2 linked regions of the Styela clava genome follow. Each later gene encodes a partner of the first gene's protein in a complex. Links are inferred from orthologs where the notes say so. Each region holds a gene or a part of one and is shown on either strand. Other genes may lie near its edges.

What was found.
Region 2: the proteins of queuine tRNA-ribosyltransferase accessory subunit 2-like (region 1) and queuine tRNA-ribosyltransferase catalytic subunit 1-like are in contact, whole or in part, in a crystal structure (PDB 7OVS), measured with the Mus musculus proteins. The link is inferred for Styela clava from reciprocal best matches to the Homo sapiens genes QTRT2 and QTRT1. Residues at the interface, in NP_001343258.1 of Mus musculus: Arg39, Thr40, Gly41, Ser42, Ala43, Pro44, His45, Leu46, Thr47, His48, Gln49, Thr50, Asn53, Glu70, His71, Glu73, Val74, Glu77, Tyr78, Phe85, Ile86, Gly87, Phe119, Gln342, Glu343, Phe345, Tyr355, Asn359, His360, Ala363; in NP_068688.2 of Mus musculus: Thr50, Thr53, Met54, Lys55, Gly56, Ile57, Thr58, Thr59, Glu60, Gln61, Ser64, Arg80, Pro81, Leu85, Lys88, Ala89, Phe95, Met96, Asn97, Ala307, Lys308, Phe310, Pro320, Thr324, His325, Ala328, Phe329, Ala332, Leu333, His335.

What each region holds. Positions count from the first base shown.
Region 1 is NC_135264.1:9,669,048-9,681,006, reverse strand, and holds the start of queuine tRNA-ribosyltransferase accessory subunit 2-like, read left to right. Parts: upstream 1-7,478; 5' UTR 7,479-7,568; coding exon 7,569-7,634; intron 7,635-7,732; coding exon 7,733-7,852; intron 7,853-9,454; coding exon 9,455-9,625; intron 9,626-11,059; coding exon 11,060-11,271; intron 11,272-11,959. Other genes in the region: PDZ domain-containing protein 8-like, read left to right, coding at 433-519, 2,442-2,637, 2,873-2,987, 3,057-3,207, 3,807-3,922; putative transmembrane protein 244, read right to left, coding at 6,316-6,488, 6,748-6,873, 6,971-7,214. UniProt on the Homo sapiens protein: Non-catalytic subunit of the queuine tRNA-ribosyltransferase (TGT) that catalyzes the base-exchange of a guanine (G) residue with queuine (Q) at position 34 (anticodon wobble position) in tRNAs with GU(N) anticodons (tRNA-Asp, -Asn, -His and -Tyr), resulting in the hypermodified nucleoside queuosine (7-(((4,5-cis-dihydroxy-2-cyclopenten-1-yl)amino)methyl)-7-deazaguanosine).
Region 2 is NC_135263.1:5,980,336-5,992,677, forward strand, and holds queuine tRNA-ribosyltransferase catalytic subunit 1-like, read right to left. Parts: upstream 5,063-12,342; 5' UTR 4,920-5,062; coding exon 4,876-4,919; intron 4,410-4,875; coding exon 4,292-4,409; intron 3,626-4,291; coding exon 3,461-3,625; intron 3,126-3,460; coding exon 2,973-3,125; intron 2,123-2,972; coding exon 1,388-2,122; 3' UTR 1,349-1,387; downstream 1-1,348. Other genes in the region: chondroitin sulfate synthase 1-like, read left to right, coding at 11,136-11,239, 12,021-12,223.

The sequences.
Region 1 (11,959 bases):
AAGCTTTTCTTTAATTGTCCTGTAGAACAATTTTGTACTTGCTACAATATGCCTAGAATCAATCTTTATAAAATGAAAGTAGTTTTTTTAGTGATCGAAATTGTTTCAGAAATAATCAATTTTATCGCAATTTGTGGGAATTCCTGATTTTTAATCAAATTCAAAATTTTCAATGGGAGCTGGAAAAGAATTGGGTTAACGAAACATTAACAACAAATAATCAAAGAACGCTTGCATGTGCTAAAGTTTTTGTAGTCAGAATTTCGTTTTGGAAGTGCTGTCAAGTGCAGCATTGAGTTTAATAAATGGCCAAAAATTTGCAGTTTGATGTGAGTTTACCCTTGTCACCTTGCCCTATTATTTTCTTTTTTTTGTCTCTAATAGTGTAAAGACTTTTTGTGGTATATTAAAATTTTTGTTATCTTCAATAAGATTCTACTGAAAATGAGAATGTTGAAACAAAACTTGTTGATAAATCATCTGATCGTTTTGTTGTTGTGGATTCTGACGATAATACAGGTAAACACACAAAAGTTTTTGTATTGACTGTAAAACTAAACCATATGTGGTTTGGAGCTAGTCTAGCTCAGTGGTTCTCGACCGGGGGCCGCGGACCCCCGGGGGTTCGGAAAACATTTCTAGGGGGACCGCGATTAAATTAAGATTTCAGGAAATTATTTGCAGTTCATTATCGTTTTTTTGTAACACGCTCGGACATTTGCTGCCTGTGACAATAGCCTACAAAAACTATTTTGATTTATCTCCCGTAGACCTATTGTGACAAATACGAGTTATGACATCACAATGATAAATACGAGAACGCAGCTACAGTGATTTCGAGGGCATGTAGTCACTGGTCACGTTCTTATTTGAAGCGAAGTATCTAGTTGTTCTACATCCAATGTGTAACAAAGAAATTTGTGTTGCTTACTAAAACTTAAGTACCCCTCAGTGTGAGAGAGTGGCAAGGAAAAACCGCAATGCCTTTTATGTTATGCTGTTCTTAGCAACGAAGCCATCAAAGCTTAAGCGTCACTTGCAGCAGACACACCCAGAACATACCGAAGTGAAGTGACAAAAATTATGCGCAGGTGAAAGACGTTGACATCAGTTCTGCTTGTTCAATTTGTTACAAATCTATTTGTGCGAATCTGGTTTTTCTGATCTTGGTAGCATCAAAACCGTCTCAAGGTTGACAGTGATATTTGTCTTGCTATATCAAAGACTGTGCCTAATATCAGGAACCTCGTCAGACAAGCGCAAGATTCCCATTGATCGTATAATAAAAAGCTTGGCCTTTCTTGTCTGTGGGTTGTTTTTGCATTCCATAAAATGTCGTAAAACATCATACGATCCAACACGTTTAGTTTTTGGAATGACGTACAGGGGGTTCGCGAGAGCAAGAAGGCGCCGGAAGGGGCTACGAGCCGTAAAAGGTTGAGAACCACTGGTCTAGCTGTTGCATAGGAAGCATTTGTTTTTTACCTCCATGGCATTGATTTAGTTGTTATTTTTACTATAATTTTGCAAGATTGAGTTAGTGTTCAAGTTAACAAGATTTTAATTTGTTTTGAAATCTTGAAAAAACAATTTCATAACTCAAAAGGTTATAAATCCAGTGTCACCACCAGTTAACATGTCACCACCACATTGGATAAAAAAAACAATTTTTTAGGCTTGATTAAGCCAAAGCATTCCACCTTGTTTACCTAGGCTATGAATTCGAAATGCTGTTGCTAGTCTTAAAGATTCAAGTCACGCTACGTCGTGTATGCCAATATTTTAATTTAGAATCTGATTCAATAAAAATATTCACTCACAAACTTCTAATTACTCGATTAAACAAACTTAAAATCGGTTTTGTTGCACAAAATTTTTCTGTTTCTAATCACCTTTGAAATTAAATTTTTGCTGGGTTCTTTAAAGACGAGGTAAGGCTTCACCTAATGTGTGTATGTGTGTTCACAAAGATTTTAAATCTTTTAAGCTGTAACTTTCGATTTGTAATTTTTTTTTGCTTCCTGTCACAACTCACATAAAAAGGAGATTTTTTTGATAATTATCTGTTTTGGATTGTTGTAATTGTGCACTTTTTTATGTTGTTAGATATAGTGTGCATGAGAAGGTAGTTTAGTGACTCAAGCAAGTGTAAAATGAAACAATGGTGGTGTAGGGGCCGGACCTGGGTAAAAATCTCGAAACCCCAAGTAGATATGCAAGCCAAGTCACAGGTCATCTTAAATCAAAAAGAGAGTCAATCACTGTGTTAAGTCTCACTACTGGTGGTCGGTTGATGGATGACAAGTCTCAATTATTTCATTTAGAGGTGGCTCAAGTCATTCTCGTAGTCTTTGATATACATTGACTCGAGGGAATAAGGTGATTTTTAGCATATGGTTAACATACACAATTGTATTTATATAACTGTATTGCCTTCACAGCAGAAAAAGGTCTACCAACAAAGGCTTTATCCTTCCGAAATAAAATATTAGACATGACGATGTCACCTGAATCAAAAGATGTCAATTCAAATGTTGAAAATTCTGGCATGAGGGTTCCTGGCTCTCGTCCAAGAGCTTTTTCTCGCACTAAAGAATCTGAACATTTGCTGGCTGTCAACGCTAAGCAAATGGGAAGGTAGGTTCACACTAGTACCGCTATTGCTTTAAAAAACGCGGTGTCCTATCGACTCCTATGGCTCGATGCGCCTTATGTACGAATAAAAATACAATCTGAGCACTTTATTGACTGTGCATCTCATGGTCTGTAAAATATGGTACTCAAAAAATGAATTGGACTTTTTTGGACAAAGTACGGTACATTATTACATGATAGTGGCAAAATTAGAATATAATGGAGCCTCATTTTTTAGAGATCTACACAGAGATTTACCTTTGTCACAACGTAAAGCAATGCTAGAAAGCCAAACACAAAAAGTTGAAAATGAATTGCACAGTGAAATTGAAGAGAAAGAAAGGCTAATACAGGTAAAACATATTATCAAATTTAAAATTTCTTTATTTTAAAACACTTGAATTTATATATTTGATTTTTAGGAACAAAAGCAGGCGGGGAACACTACACCTCAATGGGATAAATTGAATAAGAAAATTTTGAAATCAGATGAGAGATTGCAAGCACTGGCATTACTTTTACTTCATTATAGAGCAGGATTAGAAGATTGTGAATTTGATTCAACTACTCATGGTAATTTGTTAGCTACGGTATATAAAACTCATATTCAAATGGTGGTGTTTGAAAGATTAAAAAATTGTTATATGTATTCAAATTACTGATCCTAGATGTCAAAACCAATAATTTTATTCTCTTATCAGTACATTTCATACATTAAGCCGAGAACTTTATAGACACTCGAATTCTGCTTATTTATTTTATGCCTGTACATTAAAAACCAATATTTTAATTAGTATAGCTTTATAGAGGTAAAGGAATTGCTATTTTTACCATAATGCTAATATAAGCTAATTTTTGTATAATTAATATGTATAAGTTTTGATTTTGAGTCCATAAAAATGTGTATCCTGGTGTGAATGTGGTCCGTGGTTGAAAGCTGACCATTCTCCACAATGTCAATTTCATTTTTCTTTAAAATTCCATTATTTTCTGCTATATTGAAAAAAACGCTGCTATATTGAAAAAAACTCTTTTCATTACTTCAATTTTATTCCAGGCTTTGTTTGCTTTTCTACCTTGGCACTATGTTTAGATGTTGTTGACATTATCTGTTTGTGGATGAATCTAACTTCCGAGTAAATGACAGTCATTATATATACTCTTATTTCTAGGTTTAGTATTATCTGACGATGAAGATGAAATATTCGGACAAGTTAGTTCCCACAATATACCTGAAGTTCGTATAGAAAATGCCACTGAAGATGAAGCCATCAATGATAATATGTAATTTTTATGTTGCCACATATTTTGTCCGCAGTATCTTAATGAAGCTTATTAAGAGTAGTTATGATATTCAAATGGAGTCCCAACTCTGTGATTTACTTTCTATTACACTATCTTTAAAAGCATTTGCTATGCAATTTTTTCATGCAAGTGATAATAGACTGCTATAGTGGTCATATACATCTTAACCTAAATAGTTGATATCTGGTTATGATTTACAAATCGAAAAGGCCGAAGACCATAAGAGGAATTGTCAAATTGTTTTGCTAAGTTTTTGTTGTTAATGTTTATATTGTTGTTGTTGCGATGCAAAAACAATTTTTCCTTTAAATATTGAAAAATGATTCATCATGTGCGGTAACGGATATCCATTTTACAAAAAGGACTAGCTTTATATTCACCATATTGCGAGATTCTGTGTTTTATTCATTTTTTAAATATTATAAGCTAATTCACACGGCATGTTACAACATAAAATTGTGCAATTTCATATTTAAAATATTATTAGCATAAGCTAACAACTCGTACCTCTTTTTATAAATTGCACCAGCTTCTATACATTTTAATAGTATGCACGTTCCATCTTTTTTTTCGGTACAAAACCATTTTAATGCAGCAGTAACTGGTCGTTCTTTTTTAAATATAATAATTCCATTCTTTAGGTTTAATTGCCACTGTATAGGTAAAACTTGGCATGTCATATTTTCTGGCTGTGGTATTTCTATTTGTCAAAACTTTCATTCTTACAGCATATAAATTGGTAAATGCAGTTATTCAGAACAGTGAGATTCCATGATGCTTTTTCCGTTTTTTTTTTAAAGTGAGCGGTTATTGGAATATTTTTATTAGCATTAGATCATATCATCCATATTATTGCCAGGATAAGTTCTACATACAGTGCCTACCTTTATGTGACAGTTTTGTTATTTTTCTTCCAGCTGTAAAAAAACGCGTTTTTATTATTATCGTACGCTTCCTTCTTCAAGTCCTGATATGTGGGTAAATGCAATATTGCTGTAACATTTTTTTTAATTCACTGTTTCTATATTTTGTGTACTGATGAGTAAATATAGCAGCAACAGATTAAAATTTGTGATTTTCGTTGAAAATTTTAACAAGTGCCTTGTACAAATTATAGTTGAATGCTTGATTCACTGTAGTTGTTGGTTATATCTTTCACTTGAGATGGGAACGCATAAAGCGTAGATTCGATTTTATGATGCGCTGTGTGAAAGATAGATTTATCACAAAGCCTACTCAATCACCTAAACGTATGCGTTACATCGCTGAATTAATATTTCGAAATATGGATAATGTCCATTAGAAAATGTCTCTCATATTTATTCTTGGAGGGTAGTTTTTAATATGGCAGGATAGCTGCGAAATTATGGATAATGTCCATTAGAAAAAGTCTCGCATAGTTTTTAATATGGCAGGAAATTCAAAATTGTTATGGTTTTCTTCTCTGTTCGAACACTAGATGTTAATTGTACAAAACCATATTCACCGCATAACTGATTTTGAGTGTGACTTCTGCACAACTAACGTCAACTTGCCTATATTGTTATAGCTGGACACTTCTCAAAATTAGGTACTCTTTATTTTATTAACATCTTTTTACAATAACACAAACTAAAAAATATAAAACGTGCAATTTCAGTCACAGTTAACAATGTCCACTCGTAAATATAGGTAATGGCAAGAACACAGAAATTGAAATAGGAATGATATTGAGGCAAGAAAATAGCACTTTATGAATTAAAGCAATTACTTGGCAGTACAGTTTCATATGATTGTATTGTCAAAATGTTAAGGCTTTAAAGTTGAGACACATAATAAAATAATATAAAGCAGTCACAGTGATATGACTGATAAATTTATATTTCATAATGGGAGCGAAGTTTAATTTTTGATCCCGCAGATGGATTTTTGAATGGGTTAAAGCAGGGGTGTGCAACCTCCAATACACAAGGGCCAGATACAAATAACTGGATGAAACCCCTGGCCGTACTTTGACTGGCATTGCAACGCAAAGAGATTGGAATTACCAGATTAAATTAAAAAGTTGTTTCGTGGGCCGCACACCAATCAAAATGGCACTTCTAGGCGGGCCGTACAAGTTTTCCTTGTGGGCTGCATTTGGGCCGCAGGTTGCACACCTCTGGGTTAAAGTCTCGTGTAATATTCACTGACCAGATCAGAATAAATCATCGTTCAATAGGTAATTTTTTGGGAAAATAACTAAATTTTAGATGATTGTTACATATAATTGGTAGCAGCATATTAAAAAAGCTTCTGGGCACTTTATAAATACAGCAGTACTGAAGGAAACTTGTGATAGTTTGATAAAACTATATTATACACAGTTATAGATACAAAGAATTTTAACACTGAACTTTACGATTTATTATCATTATTACTACTAGGCAGAACTAGAGAATTCCCAATAGCTCTTCTTGCCTTTTTTCGTCGTAGGAAAAAGGAAATACATTCACCCATTGTTATCATCCATAATGTGCCAATTCCAATTGAACACCACCATTGCCATGTTGTTGGTAATGCCATCATTACTGCAATATTTAAGAATAAAGAAGATAATCTACATGTCTTTGTGTTGGACCACCTTCATTTTCAATAGAACTATAACTGGACTAAATAATAAGTCGCATCTACTTTTGAAAAATTACACTTCTCAATATGTCAGAAAATAATGATTTACATATTCATCTTGGGGGAGAAGAAAGATGATAATATAGCCACTCGTCCGGCTACCAGTCTGAAAACTAAATGCACACAACAAACAGAATGCAAAATATGATTAAAAGTTACCTGCACAACTGAGGATTAGGTGCACAAAGGTGATTGTTATTGCATAATCCCAAACACGAGACAAAAGGTAGAATGATATCAAAAGAGTGGTGCAAAAATATGTCAGCTCCATAGCAAGGAAACAAGCTGAAAAGAATTTAATTGTAAAAGTTCAGAAGTCTGGAGGTAGGTTTTAAATTACCAGTCTCAACCTTTTATACCTACTTCTATTTTCTATACTTACCAACGCTTTCTACTGAGCCAGTGGAAAAGTCCAGGTTTGACATGGCTACAAAATTGAATGGCTGACGTCCATCAAATGTTGATTCAACATGAAACACTCCGTGCATCAAAGCAGACATTGCGAAATAGATGCAATAAAAAGTAAACAAACATACTCCAATATTTTGAAGTATCAAAATGTTGGATCGCTTCAATTCTGGACTACAAGTACGTCCCTCATTTTCATCATCAGATTCGGCAGCCATTACTTTTTATAAACATCTCAAAACTTCTGAAAATTGCGGCCAAACACCCGCACCTGAACAGTCTTTCCTTTCACTAACCGAGCCGAAGACACAATAACGAACGCAACACGTAGTAAACAACTCAATAATATTACCGAATGTCATATCATTTGTTGCGCTTAGTGTAATATGCCGAAACACAGCGCACTGTGTGAGTAACAATTTTTTATTCAAAGTTAAGAGGAACAAATCAATATGAAATTCGTTTATCGATTTCCATGATGAACGCATGTGGTAGGTTCACGGTTAACTGAAAACAGGCGTTCGCTTAGGTATTGCCTCGCCTACTATAAAACGATACGGTCATTTCACAGTATGAAGACTGATATTGTGACAGTCAAAGGTATTAGACATGGGACTTTTTGCAACGAAAGAAACGGGGTGAGAATAACTTGATCATTCCAATTTACAGATTTCTGAAGTTTATATAAAGTCTGGCTAGCAGTACAAATATTTTCACCCATACTCCTTTGTTTTAGGTTAAAAAGAAAACTCTCTTTCCAACGTGTATGCTATCAACAAATTGTGGTACTGTGCCAAATCTATCTCGTGAAACTTATTCCTACATTCCAGTGCATTTGCATCCTGATGTTACAGAGGTGAGGCTTGGCCCAGCAAAACAGCGCGGCGGTGTGGCTCAACGGGCTAAGCGTTAGGAATACGCTCGCCACCGCACCTCTGATTACTCTGCGTGGGTTCGCAGGTTCGAATCCCATGCAGGGATGGTTATGTGCGAGAGGATTGCTGGACTCCTCGCCGTCGTTGGGTGGTTCACGTAACCGCTGGTCGGTTACGGCTTCCTCCACCACCAAGTCCATGCTTCCGAAAACAAACAATATATAACTAATCCCATACCCGACTTGGAATGGTAACCGGACGAGAGGCCGTGGTTCGCCATATGGATAAGCCGTCTTATCGGCTTTCCTCTCCCCCGGGATAAATATGTAAATCCTATCATATCCTTATCCTAACATGTTAAGATAATTTTTCATAAAAGGTTTCTGTCAGTTACATTAAAATTTTTCTAAGTGTTTGGAATACGTTTAACATTGCACCGCAAATTAACCTGTTCGGGTTTGCAGGATCCCATGAAGAATGAAATTGTGCCAGCTGGCTACAGGATTGCTGAACGGGTCTTACTACTTACTGAATACAGCGCGAAACACCGCAAAGAGCGCAAAACATCGCAAAATAGCGCGAAACAGAGGAAAACAGCGCGAAACAGAAGGAAACCAGCGCAAAACAGAGGGAAACAGGAGACGCAGTCATTACCACCTCCTGTCACGAAAGAACCACGGCTATTTCCGGCATATTTACAAGGTTATGTACCGGATTATAGGTCATCATGCGAAATTTTATCTACCTTTTTGGTGCTCCAGAGGTATGTGCAGCAATATGTCGCACAACCTGAATCCGCTACACACACACACACATACTATTTTCAGGTTGTGCGCCATCTTGGTGCACATACTTCTGGAGGTCCCTTTTTACCTAACCCTAACCCTGAAGCCAACCATATCCTTATGGAAAATGTCCTAAATTATGGTACCCAAAATTTGTCACCAGCAGGGGCAGACCTGCCATTACAGCATTACTGGCTACATACGTTGGTTTGTGTTTTTAATTTGCTGCCGTGGTACTCCAACTCAAAACAAGGTGCCCCGAACTCATTGCAAAGTTTTTTTCTGCTTCACACTGTTTCCCTCTGTTTTGCGCTCTTTCGCGCTGTTTTGCGCTGTTTCCACACTGTTTTGCGCTGTTTCCCTCTGTTTTGCGCTGTTTTGCGCTCTTTGCGGTGTTTCGCGCTGTATTCAGTAAGTAGTAAGACCGTTGCTGAACTACTCATCATCGCAGGGTTGTTCACATAACCCCGTAGCTTCCTGCACCATCCAAGTTAATACATCTTAAACAATTAACTGTTAAGTTGAATACGCCCATACTCGACTTGGTCGAAGTAACCTAACGAAAGGCTGTGGTTTTACATATGATTCTCCATCCTTTATCTCCTTGAAATAAATATGAAAATCCTACCTGAAAGTCATTGGGCATAATCATTCAATTCTTATGTTGATTCTCCGACGTAAATCAAAACAACATAAAAAGTAAAGGGACAAACAGAATGCAGAGATACTAGGGAGACGAGCATAACTTAGAATTAAGTTAAACATTAAAATAATAATTTATTTATCAATACAATTTAGGTTCCTGTACAGTCAGTCATTGATCATGAATCAATATTTTCATCCTATGCTGGATGGAGTGGTGAATTGATGAGATTGTCAAAATCTTCTCTTCTGTATGTATCAACCCAAGACCCACTTTTATCCCTGAAGACTCGCAACAAACCAGATGCTGTGCAAAATACAACAAAGGTAATTCAATCATAGGTTGGCTATTTTTATTTGCTTTTCATACTGTAGAATACAAACTTTTGTCTCTTGAATGCGATTGATATTGTTGCTCGTCATTACAAAAAACTGAAGTCAGGTAATATATATCAGGTAATTTTATTCCTCTTTGCAAAGGTGGTAGAGTCCTACTAACTAATGGCTTCAAAGATCTGGTAAAGCTCAAATAAATACCCATAGCCACCATTAGGGGTTTCAAGATAGTATGCTTGTATAATAGTCAGGGCTGCCATCAATATGAACCCAAAAATAAGGACATCGAGGAGGCGTAATAATAAGATAACAAAGAACGCAATGTAATAAACGAAATGTATTCATGCCAGTGCCACCCGTGTCTAATCATACTTTGCACTAGAAAGAATTCCTCCCAGCAGTTCTTTACTCTTAGAAACTATCTGTTCCATCTCACTTCCGAGTTCACTTCCACTTGTAGAATTAAATTAGATTAAAATTAGATTCTCTACTGTATTTTGGTTCAAGTTACATGAACTGATCTTTGCCGGTAGGGTATTGTTTTGACCTTGTGGTTAATTAATTTGCTGTTATTATGTCATGAATGCATGTAGAAATCAATGAGGTTCTGATATCATTTCTAGCAGATGAATCATTCGAATTAACCAATCTAAAAACACGATATAAGAACATCTACCCCTAAAATAAGATTTAGGACACATGTCAAAATAAGGACGTTTCTTTTAAACAAGGACAAAAATATTTTCTGAGACATAAGCCCTCAAAATAAGGACTAATCTTAGAAATAGGGACGTTATGGCAACCCTGAACATAGTGAACATGAATCAGCTTAAAGTCAAGTTATCGGATCAGATGAGTCTTCTACAGCAGCTGTCACTGACTTTGTGACAATTTTACTCATTGATTTGGGAGGGCACACATTGCAGAACAAGGCCGAGAACATGCAGAATATGGATAATGTAGATAATGTATATCCAATGATTTAGAAATTTCGTTATGCAGAAAAGGCGATAAAATTATGGTATAGGATGGTTCGTTTTGGATTTCTGTTGCTATTATGTTGATCATAATATCAAAACATTAAATTACTCTGTCAATATTAAATCTAAATTTCGATATTGAACTTACTCGTTATGCAGAAATATTCCCCCAGAGATGTTCTTTTTATTAATTTTGTTGGCAAGTTAAATTACAGCGATCGAGCAACTGGGTGTATATGAATATGATAGAATTTATATGCCTGATGTGAACTTGCCAGTCAATGGTTTATGCAAGTTATAAGGCCCGATTTCGAATTCAATATATTCTTTAACAATGGTTTTATTCAAAAGTTGTATCAAACTGCCTTTCCACTTATGTCTGCTTTGATTGTAATATGAAATAATTTTGGTATTAGTAGTTCCTTTTCAATTTTTTCTTTTACAGGCAGTTTCAATTTGGGGAAACAAAGGTAGGATCGCTCTGGACGTTGAAAAACATTTGCAATTAATTTCAACTTTGACCCCTGATATTTTCGAAGTATTAGCTGATGGAGACACAATAGCTGAAGATGTTTCTAACAAGCGCGTGTCAAAATCTTTTGCAAACTCGTTGAAATTTTTGGAACAAAGTTTAAAGTTGCATAAGGAGAATGAAAGGTATACATATTTCTCTCTATGCAAACTTGAGCGAGCGACGGTAAGAAAAAATCCCCCACTCACTGGCTGGATGCTTTACACATTGCGTTAACCTTTTGTTGGTATTTTTCAAATTTTTTATCAAGCACTTGGGTCCTTGCTTTGTGCAAACTTGTTATAGAAAAAAGCATTAGGAACATCGCACCATTATCCGTATATAGAGATAGGCTCGGCGGTGTGACGCATCATACTAAGCGTTAGGAATACGGCCGCACCTGATTACCCCACATGGGTTTCGAATTCCCAGATTCGAATCCCATACAGGGATATTTATGTGCGAGAGGATTGTTGGACTCCTCACCGCTGTAGGGTGGTTCCCTCATCAAGTCCATGCTTCCGAAAACTAATAACTGGCCAACTAATCCCATACCCGACATGGACTGATAACCGGCCATGGTTCGCCATATGATTAAGCCGTCCTTTCAGCTATCCTCTTCCCCGGGATGAATATGTAAATCCTATCTGTTAGCGAAGAACGATCATTAAAGTGTCAAGAGCTACTGGGGCTATAAATCATTATAGTAGAAGTAGAATTATAGAATTGCATTTTACTAAATTCCAGTTACACTTTTAGTGATTTTCACATTTAATGTAAAAGATAAATGAGCCCCTCTTGTATTCAATTAAGTAATGCACAAGATACATTTGT
Region 2 (12,342 bases), on another chromosome or scaffold:
TTTTGAAATTCATTGTATGACAGAAAAATGCATTTATAATTGAAGTTTGTTTATTGATAAAATGGTCTTTCAAATTTATTAATTTTAAGTGATGTTTTGTTCTTGATCTTGGTGATCTCTGAAAAACATTTAGCCTCTGCAATGTAAGAACCTGTCATTGATTTGCTCATCTAACAAATGATTCCCAATGAAGTATGATTTTATGAAACGTATGAATACGTGTGATATAATTTGTTTTTGCAATATGGATACTGAAGTATAGAAATCACTCTTAGTCAGTCGTCGTACTACAGTATGTTTCATCATGTAATCTAATATAATTCCAAATATAAGAAAACTGCGTGGTTTGTTTTCATAACTTGGATGGGCGTGATATTCAGCGAACCATTGGATGTTTCCCGGGCATCAATTTTCTTGCAACAATTACAAATCAGCACTGAGTTAACAATGAAATAACAAATGCTCGGACAGATATTCGAACATAGTTGTAAACATTGTCTCTTTTGGTAATTTTGAGCCTTATTTGTCCATTTTTAGATGTGTTTTTAGAGGTCAAAGGTCAGGGAAACGTCCATAGCTATAAGTTTGGTATGGTTTTCTGAAATGAGGTAATCTGTTCTTGGTGAGCTCGATACAAAATAAAACCTGTTAAAAGTTAGGGTCCCATCACTGAGTATAATGTAGTGTTCAAAATATCATGTCTGCTTCGTCTTAACTGCCACGATTAAACATACAGGACTGGTATTTGTGCAAACAAATGGGTGCCCTGTCATCCTTAGTTTAGTTATGTGGCTTAGAACAGATTTCGCCAGGTGAGAAACACTATACATGCTGTATAAGTAACAATGAAACACATAGGCATATCTAATAACTCGTTCCCATATTTTAAGCTTGAAAAAGTCTGGGCTTCAATGGGAGCGGTGCAGCTCTGATCAAAATCTTGCTTGGTGGACTAATAAGGATGGGCAACATGGAACAATTTACTGTTCTAGAATAGTTAAATTGAATCCAGAATACCAAATCATATTCTATTTTCATGACTGGGTTCAAGTTACCTTCTCCTACAATGTGTTACTGATGTCCCAGCTTACGGATAAATATTCTGGAAATTTTTCAAACCTTCATGATTGAAATTTCAGGAAATGGATACATTGTGTACCCCAAAGCAAAACTTACGGATTAACTATTTGACCTGAAGGGCACTCCATTGTATTACTATAATTTATATAAAAGCCGGCACTATGCTTCTTTTCGCATTCTTCTTACCCACAGGATAGCAATAAGAATGATTCCTTCTGATGCGTAAGATCTTGAGAGGTCCCATTCATATTTAATGAACAAAAAAGAATTGGCTATTGTCTATGATTGCATAATATTAAAAAAATATTTATTTTTTTAATTTAACACCAACAGATTCTAAAGCATCACAAGCCCATGCAGGAAAATTAGATTGATCTTCAAACAATTCTAAAAACCTTTCTTTAATAAAGTCTGGGAATCTATCTAAGCTAATAGCTTCCCTGACAGCTGCCATTAGATCAGCCTGGTATTTTACATTATGAATAGATACCATACTGCAGGCGCTTGGGTTATTATTCTTAAATAGCATATGAAGATACGCTCGGCTGTAATCTCGACAAGTGGAGCATTCACAGTTTTTATCGATGGGTTCAAAATCTTTTGAAAATTCGACACGCTTCAAATTTATTTGTCCTTTCCGTACTAGAGCTACACCAAATCTAGCAGTCCTCGTTGGAAAAACACAATCGAACATATCACAACCTAAAGCAGAGCATACGATTAGGTCAGCAGCGTAGCCGACACCCATTAAATATCTGGGCTTATTATCAGGCAGTCCATCTGTGCTTACAGTCACCATCCTCCAAAAGTCGTCTTTGCATTCACCGCCACTCAAACCCCCGACAGCAAATCCATGAACATCTCTTGAAGTCATTTCTTTCAGACAATCCTTCCTTAACTCTTCATCCAATCCACCTTGAATTATAGGGAATAAATTTTGTTCTGTCTGTCTTTTGTGGGCTGCAATGCATCTATCGAGCCATCTGATTGATCTTTTTGTAGCCAAACGAAATCGGTCCTGATCTGTTTCAGTGCTGCTCACCTGGAATATTGAAAATTATATTTTTATCAAACAATTACACAGAAAATACCATACATGAAATCAACCACGGGCATTAATTTGAACATCCTGGGTCAGAAATGGCTAAATATAATCTAAACTATATTTTTTTAAATGAGCAGTAGTTATGTGAACCATCATAAAATGTTCGACAATCCTCATACATAACGGCCTCCAAGGGATTCAAACCTCTAACCCCATGAAACACAACCAGTGCACAATGATAAACTTATATCTATTATGCTATCGAAGAATCAGTCATCCAGCTGAGACATTGGTTGAAATTGACCAACCATGTATGACTTGTGTACAGAGACTAAAACCAGAATAGTGGTGCAATATAAAAGTTTATGGGCAGTTACATAAATATTGTCCATAATCCTTCTAACATAATAAACGAGAATATCGGTTGGAAACCGAAGACTTATCGATCGATAGTTAGGGGATCCCCCAAAACAGAAACTGCAGTTTCGATTCATCAGCTCTTGTAACTTGCGCACTGCGCATCGCACACACACACTCGGCGGGTTTCAAAATTCTCTCGCTTTACAAAAATCTAGATCACTATATCAATAATTGATTGATAACTCGCTAATTATACGACATAATTCGCCCAAAATCAATAGGGATCTGGTACGAGATAAAATGAATGCACATGCAAAATCTGGAGCAGATTCAATCTCGCTTTCGTGAGATATCGCGTGCATCTAACAGACACACAGACACACAGACAGACATACATACATACAGACAAATACCTATCAATATACTTACCGATCTTAAGATCGATAAGTAATTAGCAAAATAGCACTATTAGGTATTTCAAGCTCACCACATCATCCAGTTGCATCATGATATCAGCCCCAATAGCATTCTGTATTTCCATTGATTTCTCAGGTGATAACATCATTTCAGTTTCATTGTGTGGATGAATGAACTTCACTCCTTCTTCAGAAAATTCTGCCAATTTAACAAGTGACACCATCTAAAAAAGATAATGCCCATTTGTTACAATTTCTAAATCGATAGTTTTAATTGATATTGTTGTAGGTTCTCATTAAAAAAGTCCACGGAAATAGATAAAACCATTATAGTAAAACAGGTAATCAGGTTCGAGGGTGGTCCAAGACGAATTGGATACATTCAAAATGGGTATATATACAATTTAGAAAATTTTCTATAATAAATAAATAAAAAGAAAATAAGAAAAATATAATTTCATTTGTATAAATTTAGAACAATGAAAATAACCCATATTAGAATACATAAAATATAGTAAATTAAAAGGTTATGGCCAGACACAAACTTTTGTCAATATACCTGAAAACCTCCACTATCAGTAAGGAGGGAGCGATCCCAGGACATAAAGTTGTGCAATCCTCCAGCTTTTTTTAATATTTCTTCCCCTGGTTTGTTTCCAAGATGATAAGTATTACCAAGCATGATTCGTATATCGAGATTTTCTAGCTGCTTTGGCGTGATTCCCTGACAAATTGGGAAAATTTATAAATGAGTGAAATAACAGGTTTGGCCGTAAAAATAAAGGTTTAGTAAATTAACAAAACTCATTTATTGACTATCAATATCACTCTTAAATTTGATGAATTGAAATACTACACCGTTACAATCTATTAATCAGAATAAGTTGACAAAACATATTTTAATTGGAGACATCAAAAAATTTCAGCTAAAATTGTAGCTAACAAAAAAAATATCTTTCTAAATTCCATGATACCTCTACCGTTTTTAGCATTTTCTCTCAACTTGAGGTATTTGAACATATTGGGCTTGAGTGAGTGGGAGCTTGATCTCATATCGAGCAAAATCTCATAGGAGCACAAAGTATCGTCAATCAACAAAGAAATTAATAGTAAAGCTGGACAGTTGGCGCATAGTACAAATCCTTAGGAATACCATCCACACTGCATCTCTAATTACCTTGCCAGTTAGCATCCCTTGGACAGATATCGGCAAAGAGATTGCTATGCTGATCACTTACTGATAAAGTTCAACTGGTTAAAGTTTCACATACCCAGCATGTATTGGGAAACATATGAAAAGAGGTAGTTTGACATAATATGATTGATAAATATAAAAACACTATTATACTTCCTAGTATGAACAAATCCTATATTTGAGTGATATAAATACCTTCAAAGTTCCCTGTGTTCCAACTGGCATGAATACTGGGGTATCAACGATACTATGAGGTAACTTCAACTTTCCAACACGAGCTTTTGTTGTGCTACACTTCGCAACAATCTCCATGCTGAAAAGTTTGGTATATACAGATATATTTAATTTCTGGTTTAATATTCGGCCTGGGTGTGCTCAGTGGAGTAGGAGAATTACCAGACCAGAGTTACCCAGCCTAAACATGTGCTGCATGCAAGGGCTTGAAGAACTTTTATACTCAATGTAAAGCTATCAACAAAAACTTGTTTGTGCTGGGGTCACTCTGGTGTATAATGGTATGTATAACTTTGGCATCTGAATTTTGCCATTTAAGCATACGCCTATCATGTTTCTGTATTTACAGATTTAACTTTGAGACAGGAAATAACTTATCCCCGTATAGTGCCGTGTCTTTTGTTAATAACAAGGTAATACTGTACCGTACAGCAGTAGTATGCTTATCAATCACTCAGTCAATTGTACTTTATACTGTTATAAGGTTGCACATACATCCATAGATAAAAATAGGCCTACGCATGAAATAGAATATATCGACTTACCTAAGAGTTGATGATGTATACGACAAATTCGATTGAGCCATCATATAGTATTCGTGTATCAGAACAACGTAGTTTCTTTACAGCTTTATGAATGAATATACTGTAATTCCACGCTATTCAAACAGAGAAGCTTTGCCGCGTCGTACACAGACGAACTGATGACGTCAATCGCGTGCCTGTCGGGCATTATCAGGTCTGGAAAGGCGCAAGGTTGATCCATAAACTAATTCAGCAGGGCTGAAACCCAAATCTTAGGATAGGATAGGATTTTACATATTTATCCCGGGGGATAGGAAAGCCGATAAGACGGTTTATCCATATGGCGAACCACGGCCTCTCGTCCGGTTACCATTCCAAGTTGGGTATGGGATTAGTTATATTGTTTGTTTTCAGAAGCATGGATTTGGTGGTGGAGGAAGCCGTAACCGACCAGCGGTTACGTGAACCACCCAAATCTTCTTTAACGACTGATCGAATACCAAGTAAAACAAATCCCAAATTCGGAAACCAGTCAGATGGGTGATCGCAAGCTCTAAGAGAAGCTTTAACAGTTCGATTAAGGCGCTCGACCAAAGAATTTTCTTGAGGCCGATATGGTGCTGTCAATATATGTTTTGAGCCAAGAAACGCCATGAAGTCTTTCCAAGTTGTTGAAGTAAATTGCGGTCCATTTTATGTATTAACAGTACTGAGAGCACCAAAGTGGCTGTTATAATTATTAGTTAAGGCGTGTACGATTGTATTAGTTAAACTGTCTTTCAATGGTACACAAATTGGATATCTTGTATATCTGTCAATTATCATGAGCAAATTAATTTTTATTAACTACCAGTATGTAATTTTTCATGTTCCCTTTACTTAATAACTTCTATATGGTTGTGTGTGTGGGTGCGTGTGAGCGTGTGTGAAATATTTCAATTATTTTAGGTGAGTGAACACGTACCACATGTTCTTGGCAAAACCTTCCATCTTATATACATTCTGTACGTTTTAAACCTTATCTAAGGTTTTGTTCGCTCTCCTGATTTCATAATCAGTTTTTATTTATTTATTTTAGCATTCATTTTATTGTTTTGCTGATTATGGAGTCGAAATAAACTTATACTTATTATACTTAAATAAACATAACCATGAGATTGAGGGAGTGGTCCGAGTAAGTCTACATTGATAGTGCTAAAACGTTCATCTGGAACTTTAATGTTTTTCAATTCTGATCGTATGTGTCGTTGAACTTTTGCTTTCTGGCATCGTATACAGTACACTCATGAACAAATTTACGAATGTCTTTATTCATATTCGGCCAAACATATCTGTCTCTAATAAGCTGTTGGGTTCCTGATATTCCTGGGTGACACAAACTATGAGTTAGGTTGATAATGCGTTGACGTAACGAAGTTGGAATATATGTTCGTGGTTTTCCAGCGAGGCTGATGTCGCAAATTATATTTCCCGCTAATTCGGGTACTGGTGATGCTATTAATTGTAGAGAATGCTTGCTGGCGTTCTTCAGAAGTTGCTTGAGCTCGTGGTCATTTTGTTGGGCGTTGTAGATGTCAATCAAAGGGATAATTTCCTGTTGGGGAACAACGGCGTTTATGGCACCATTCTCTGTGGGGTGAAATTCAATACGGCTTAATGTGTCGGCCGCGATATTCAATGCACCGGCAATGTGTTTTACTGTGAAATCAAAAGTTGATATGTATTCAAGCTGACGGGCTTCCCGTTGGACTTTGGACTCTTTCGGACTTTGAATGGCCTGCACCAGGCTTTTGGAGTCGGAGATTAATTGAAATTTCCTGCCTGTCAATTCATGTCGAAATATTTGATGGATTCAAAAATAGCCAAAAGTTCTTTGCCAAACGTCGAATAAGTTTTCTGAGGGCCACGGAGGGCTCTTGAGAACATCCCCAGAGGTCTCCATTGATTATGTTCAAACATTTGTAAAACGCCTGATATTCCAATGTCAGAAGCGTCAGTAATTAAAGAAATAGGTGATTGGTGATTTGGGTGAACCAATAACGTAGCATTGGCTAAAGCATGTTTAATGTCATCGAAAGATTTCAAAGATTCATCATTCCATTTGATACGGGAACGTTTACTAGGTTTTCCAATTGTCATCTCATTTAAAGGTCGTATAATAGTAGCAAAATTCTTTACAAAACGATTATAATAGGTACAAAGGCCAATAAAAGATCTCAATTCTTTCAATGTATTCGGTTGAGGATAATTTTGCAAAACTTCCACCTTATCGGCTAAGGGCTGTATTCCTTCGGGCGTGACATGATGGCCCAAAAATTTAATTTCTGATTTGTGAAAATGGCAATTATCTGTATTTATAGTCAGTCCATATTTGTGTGAGCGTTCGAGAACTCGATCTAGTGTTCTGAAATGCTCGTCTTCTGTTTTGGTTGCAATAAGGATATCGTCGAAAATTACAAATATATTTTCAATGTTCGCTAAAACTTCTGTCATGAAATAATTGAAGGTCGCTGGGGCAGGTGCCAATCCGAAACAAAGGGTTTTAAACATGTACATCTTGTTGTTGCAGGATACGGCTGTTTTTGGTTGATACGAATCCAAGATAGGAATATGATTATAAGCTTTTGTGAGATCAAGTGTAGTGAAATGACGGCAGCCATGCAATTTATTGACAAAATCGTATAAATGGGGTACGGAATTTTCTTTTCCTTGATCGTAATTGAATTCAAAAGTCTGAAATCGAGGCACAGCCTAATAGAGTTAGAACCACGCTTTGGGACGATTGTAACTGGAGAATTATAGACGGAATTACATGGAACAATGTCTCTTAAGGCTAACAAAGTTTTAATTTCTTGTTCAACAGCAGCTTGTGAATATGAAATGGAAGCGTACTTTTTTGCTTCTAACTCCTACCTGAAAAAGATATACTTAATACAAAGACAGTGTCTAAGAATATGCTGCGGCGCTATGAAAAGTACCTTCATTTTAAGTATACTAGCAGCTACGGGGGAATTACCTTTACATATCCGACATCTGCAGCTATGTCTTAATTATAAATGGAACCACATCTCTATAAATGATCGTCCTCTGAAATATATAATTGAAGAATCTTGGCAGGAATACTTTCCCGATTCACCTTTTTTCAAAACATTTAACATGTTGACAAGTTCGGATATTTTTAAAAATTTGGAAGTATCGAGATATCCCGTGTAGAGATGTACCGATACAACTTTTGTCGCCGATACCGATACCTGCTAAAAACGCCGATGCCGATACTACAAAAGGCCGATATTACCGATATTCCGATACCGATACTATGTAATTATTAATTGATTAGGTGTACTGTGTAAGACAGACAGGTTAAAACAATGGTCTTTGAGCGTTGTTCATAGTTCACATTATTTCAGATCGAATAAAAAGATATGTCACATAATATGAAATTAATGTTTGGTATCCATAATACTTCAACTGATTAAGATACATTGTACAGTAACGCTAGTAATCTTGGTGTTCAATTAGAAAACTCATAAGCCGGGATATCCAATTTGAATTTAATGTCAATATCGACCTTCGAATATCGTTATTCGTGTTTAAAAGAATATCGAATATCACCCACACATTCTAGCGCCGCCGCCCTACGTTCAAATTAAAAGCATTTTACAAATATTTTATTTTGTGGCTAATCGTAATCGTCGACGCAATAAGTCAAAGCCAACATGAGAGAATATCAATCAGCACCGACAAAAAAAAAGACCTACCTATAACCGTCGGGGATGTTTTTTTACTTTAGTAGTGTAGTTGAACAAAATTAAAATTAATACCTGCGTAGAGGGATAATTGTGTCGGAATATAGTTTATCGATGTCGACGGAATAAATGACACTTGTACTTGACGACAAACAGTCAGAATTTATACCCGTGCCAAAAGTCCATGTGCCGTTAATAAGGACCCCAATTCCACTGTATGTTTAAAACTGAGCGCCTAGTTGCTTTTTGTTATGTGCTGTGTTGATATATTTCTTCATGATTACTATGTAATATTGAAAATGTCAATATAAAAATTTGACAGCGAAAATAGTCACATTAGTTGAGCTAGTTTGGCTGATAAATAGCTAAAAACACGTGAATCCTATTCTCTCGCGGGGTGGGGACATGTATGTCATAACTCACGATCTCTTCAGACAAAAAATAAATTAAGAAGTAGTATTCCAACTTATCTTTAAAAACATTCTGGACCATATCAGAAAGTTAAAGAGTTATTAATTAATTAGTGATAGGACACAAGGTGTCACTATAAAGTAAGAGCGCTGTTTTGGGGAATCCCCTAACTTTCGATCGATAAGTCACCGGTCTCTGACCGATATTCTCGTATTCAATCTTGCTTTGAACATTATACATATATATGTTTACACGGACAGATCCAAAACAGATGAAGGAGTTGGCTGTTCTTTTTACGTGCTACAGAGGGAAACTACCATGTCCTTTTCATTACCACTAAACCAAACGTCATACACTGCTGAACTTTATGCTATAAGTATGGCAATGGAATGGATAAACATAAATCGCACTTCCTCCGTACTGATTTCTCCGGATTGTCTTGATGCTCCTAAAAGTATCGAATGTTTCAATAGTTCATCTCACCATCTGGTTGAACGAATAATTTATATACTTAATAATTCTAGGTCTACTCTGCCTTTCCTTCTCCATGCGGAAATCATATTCGTGGGGTTTATGATTTATTTATATATAACCCAGTTATACATCTATGATCATTTACACAAAGCGATTAAGTAAAAAAAACTCCCCCCGGCCCAGATGTTGTTTTTGTCCTACAAACTCCTCTGTACAAACAGTTTCGTATACTCCACCCTTACCTCTGTTATCACACACACTCACCCTCCTTGCACTGCCTGTATAAAGGACAATATTATACGTATTTGATTTACCGTATTATAATTTATAAATATCAAAAGGGGTGTATGCCGCACATTCGTGTTTTAGGCCAGTATGGTCTTGTGCATACATCCTGTCTTCAGTATTTATAATAATAAACATACATACATAGCATAGCTAAATTTCGAATCAAGGTCCCGCTTGAAAAAACCCAGTATTTTATTAATGGGTTCACAAAATATAACTTGTATCAAAATCATATATCAGCAATAGGAAAACAATGAAAACTCCAAGAAATGCAATTTTATGTTCTGTGAACAAATTTCTTATATATACCTAAATATTATTCCAGACCCTGAGCATATATTTTATAAATATCAGAAATATTGTTTTGAATTGATATGTTATTATTACAATATGTATAATATATATATTACAATACACATTACGATTGCAGCAATGGTAGTAATAGCCTATTTTAAACCGGAAAGATAAATGTTTCTCACACCAGTTATAATACACGCGACCAAAGTCCAAATTATTACTTTAGAACGATTAATTTTCATGTAGATATTTTTACTAAGGAAACCCACTGTGGAGATCGGTGTACAACGACAAAATACTTGAGGAAATGTTAGTAGAAGTCTTGATTACGAAGGGTGATAGAATCATGCATTCGATACTAAGGACAAGTCCAGTCAAATCAAGCGACGATGCGAAATATGACAATCTTTTAGGTATAGCTTGGCTTAATACAATGGTTTAACGCACTTAGGTAAGGTACAAAAAGAGAAGTACGTATTTCCGTGTATTCCAATTTATTGTATTCTAGCAGTCTGTATCACATTTATAATAGGACGTTAAGCGCGTAGCAATCTTCTTGTTGCCTGTCTCGTCCCGGGGTCAGTGCAAGGGTGTAAATAGAAGTATAAATCTTGTAATGTTAAATATTTACTGATTTAGTATCAATATACCTACCGCGGCAACTTGAATAACAATTAAAGAGAAAGGATGTATTTACCCATTCAAAACTCACGCCTTATAAAGGAGCATAAAATCACAATTCATTATCATCGTGGCGTGGTTTATACGTCTGGATTCGATGCACGCAAACACACATTTACGTCGATTCGCTTGCCAATAGTGAAGGAATGTGCGGATAAGGCGTGGCCCTCATTTGGCTCATTCTAAAAATGACCGAACAAACTTTACTTAGCACTCGAATAATGGAACCTCCTTTTCTTAGCCTTGTTTGTTTTATGGGAGTAGCCGTAACGTAGCGGAGGAAACGCGTCGATCGAGAACAGGTTGTTTTCGAACGTGTATATTGATATTTTGCGGCATTTTCGCATCGGAATAGTAGATACAGAGAATTGTAGTTGTTAAATAATGGTTCCGCGACATTCGTTACTTCCGTTGGATCGAAAAAGAGAAAACAGTAGCTGCAGAAACATGGGGAAATTCAGCACGCAAGTTGAAATGATTGTGTACAGGTATGACAAGAAATTGATATTTTATCGTTAAATTTTTCCTTGAGTGAACCTAGACAGGTTAGAAAGGTAATTTCATGTTTTTCTCTATAGCCTATGCTTGGACCTATGGAAAGTTCCTATTACAGTTACAGTATAAATTCTAATACAGTGCTGTTATAAATGCTTGAAGGCGATATTGCGTAACCAATGGGTCTATTTTGCGCTCAGTAGTAAAGAAAACTCATCTCGGAGCACAGACGACCACTTAGATATCGAAAGCTTCTGAAACCGCTATGTTGAAGCGTAAATAGCTCACAACCAACTGATCTACTACCTGTATTTGACATGTGTTTCAGTCTTTGATAATAATAGGCCACAAATAATTTACGTCTAAAACCAAATATGCTTGAAAATTCTTCAGCAACAATGGACATCCAGTCGTGTTCATATATATCTTGATTACAGTGCTGAAATCTCATTTTTAATGCGATCTGAAGGTTATTTTCTGCCATGCAGCAATCGGAAAATAAACGGACAGAGTAAATAGCACTGATTATCGTTTTAAGTAGTCGCCATATTCTCATACAAAACGATATTTTGGAATGATGCCTTAAAACAGTTGCCACGCTTGAGAAACTCGGACCAAAATACAAGCAATTTCAAAAAATATCGCCACAAAACAACTTTGAAAAATTTGACCAGATCACGGCTTGGATACAACGATTGCAAATAGTCTTTCACTATCGCTTAAATGCTTTGTATTACATGAATTACCTGGTTACCGGAAATGGTTTCATTTTAGGTTTATACTCAGTCTGGTAGTTGGATTCTTCCTCGGTTCGTATGTGATCACAAATCATGAAGTGTCCGTTGTACAGAAACTTGGTAAACTTGTGTGCCAAGGTCCACAGATTCATCGATTTGTCAAGTATAACCAGGACGCTGCACAGCACCACCAACAGCGTCAACCTAGGCTGGATAGAGAGAATGGACTGTTGTATATTGGTAATTTGAACGTTTTTTTCTTCTTGATTACACCATGGGGATGATCATTTGCCGAGGCAAACTATAGCGATGTTGAACGTAACGTTAAAGTTGAATGTCGCGACTGAAAGTATACCGTT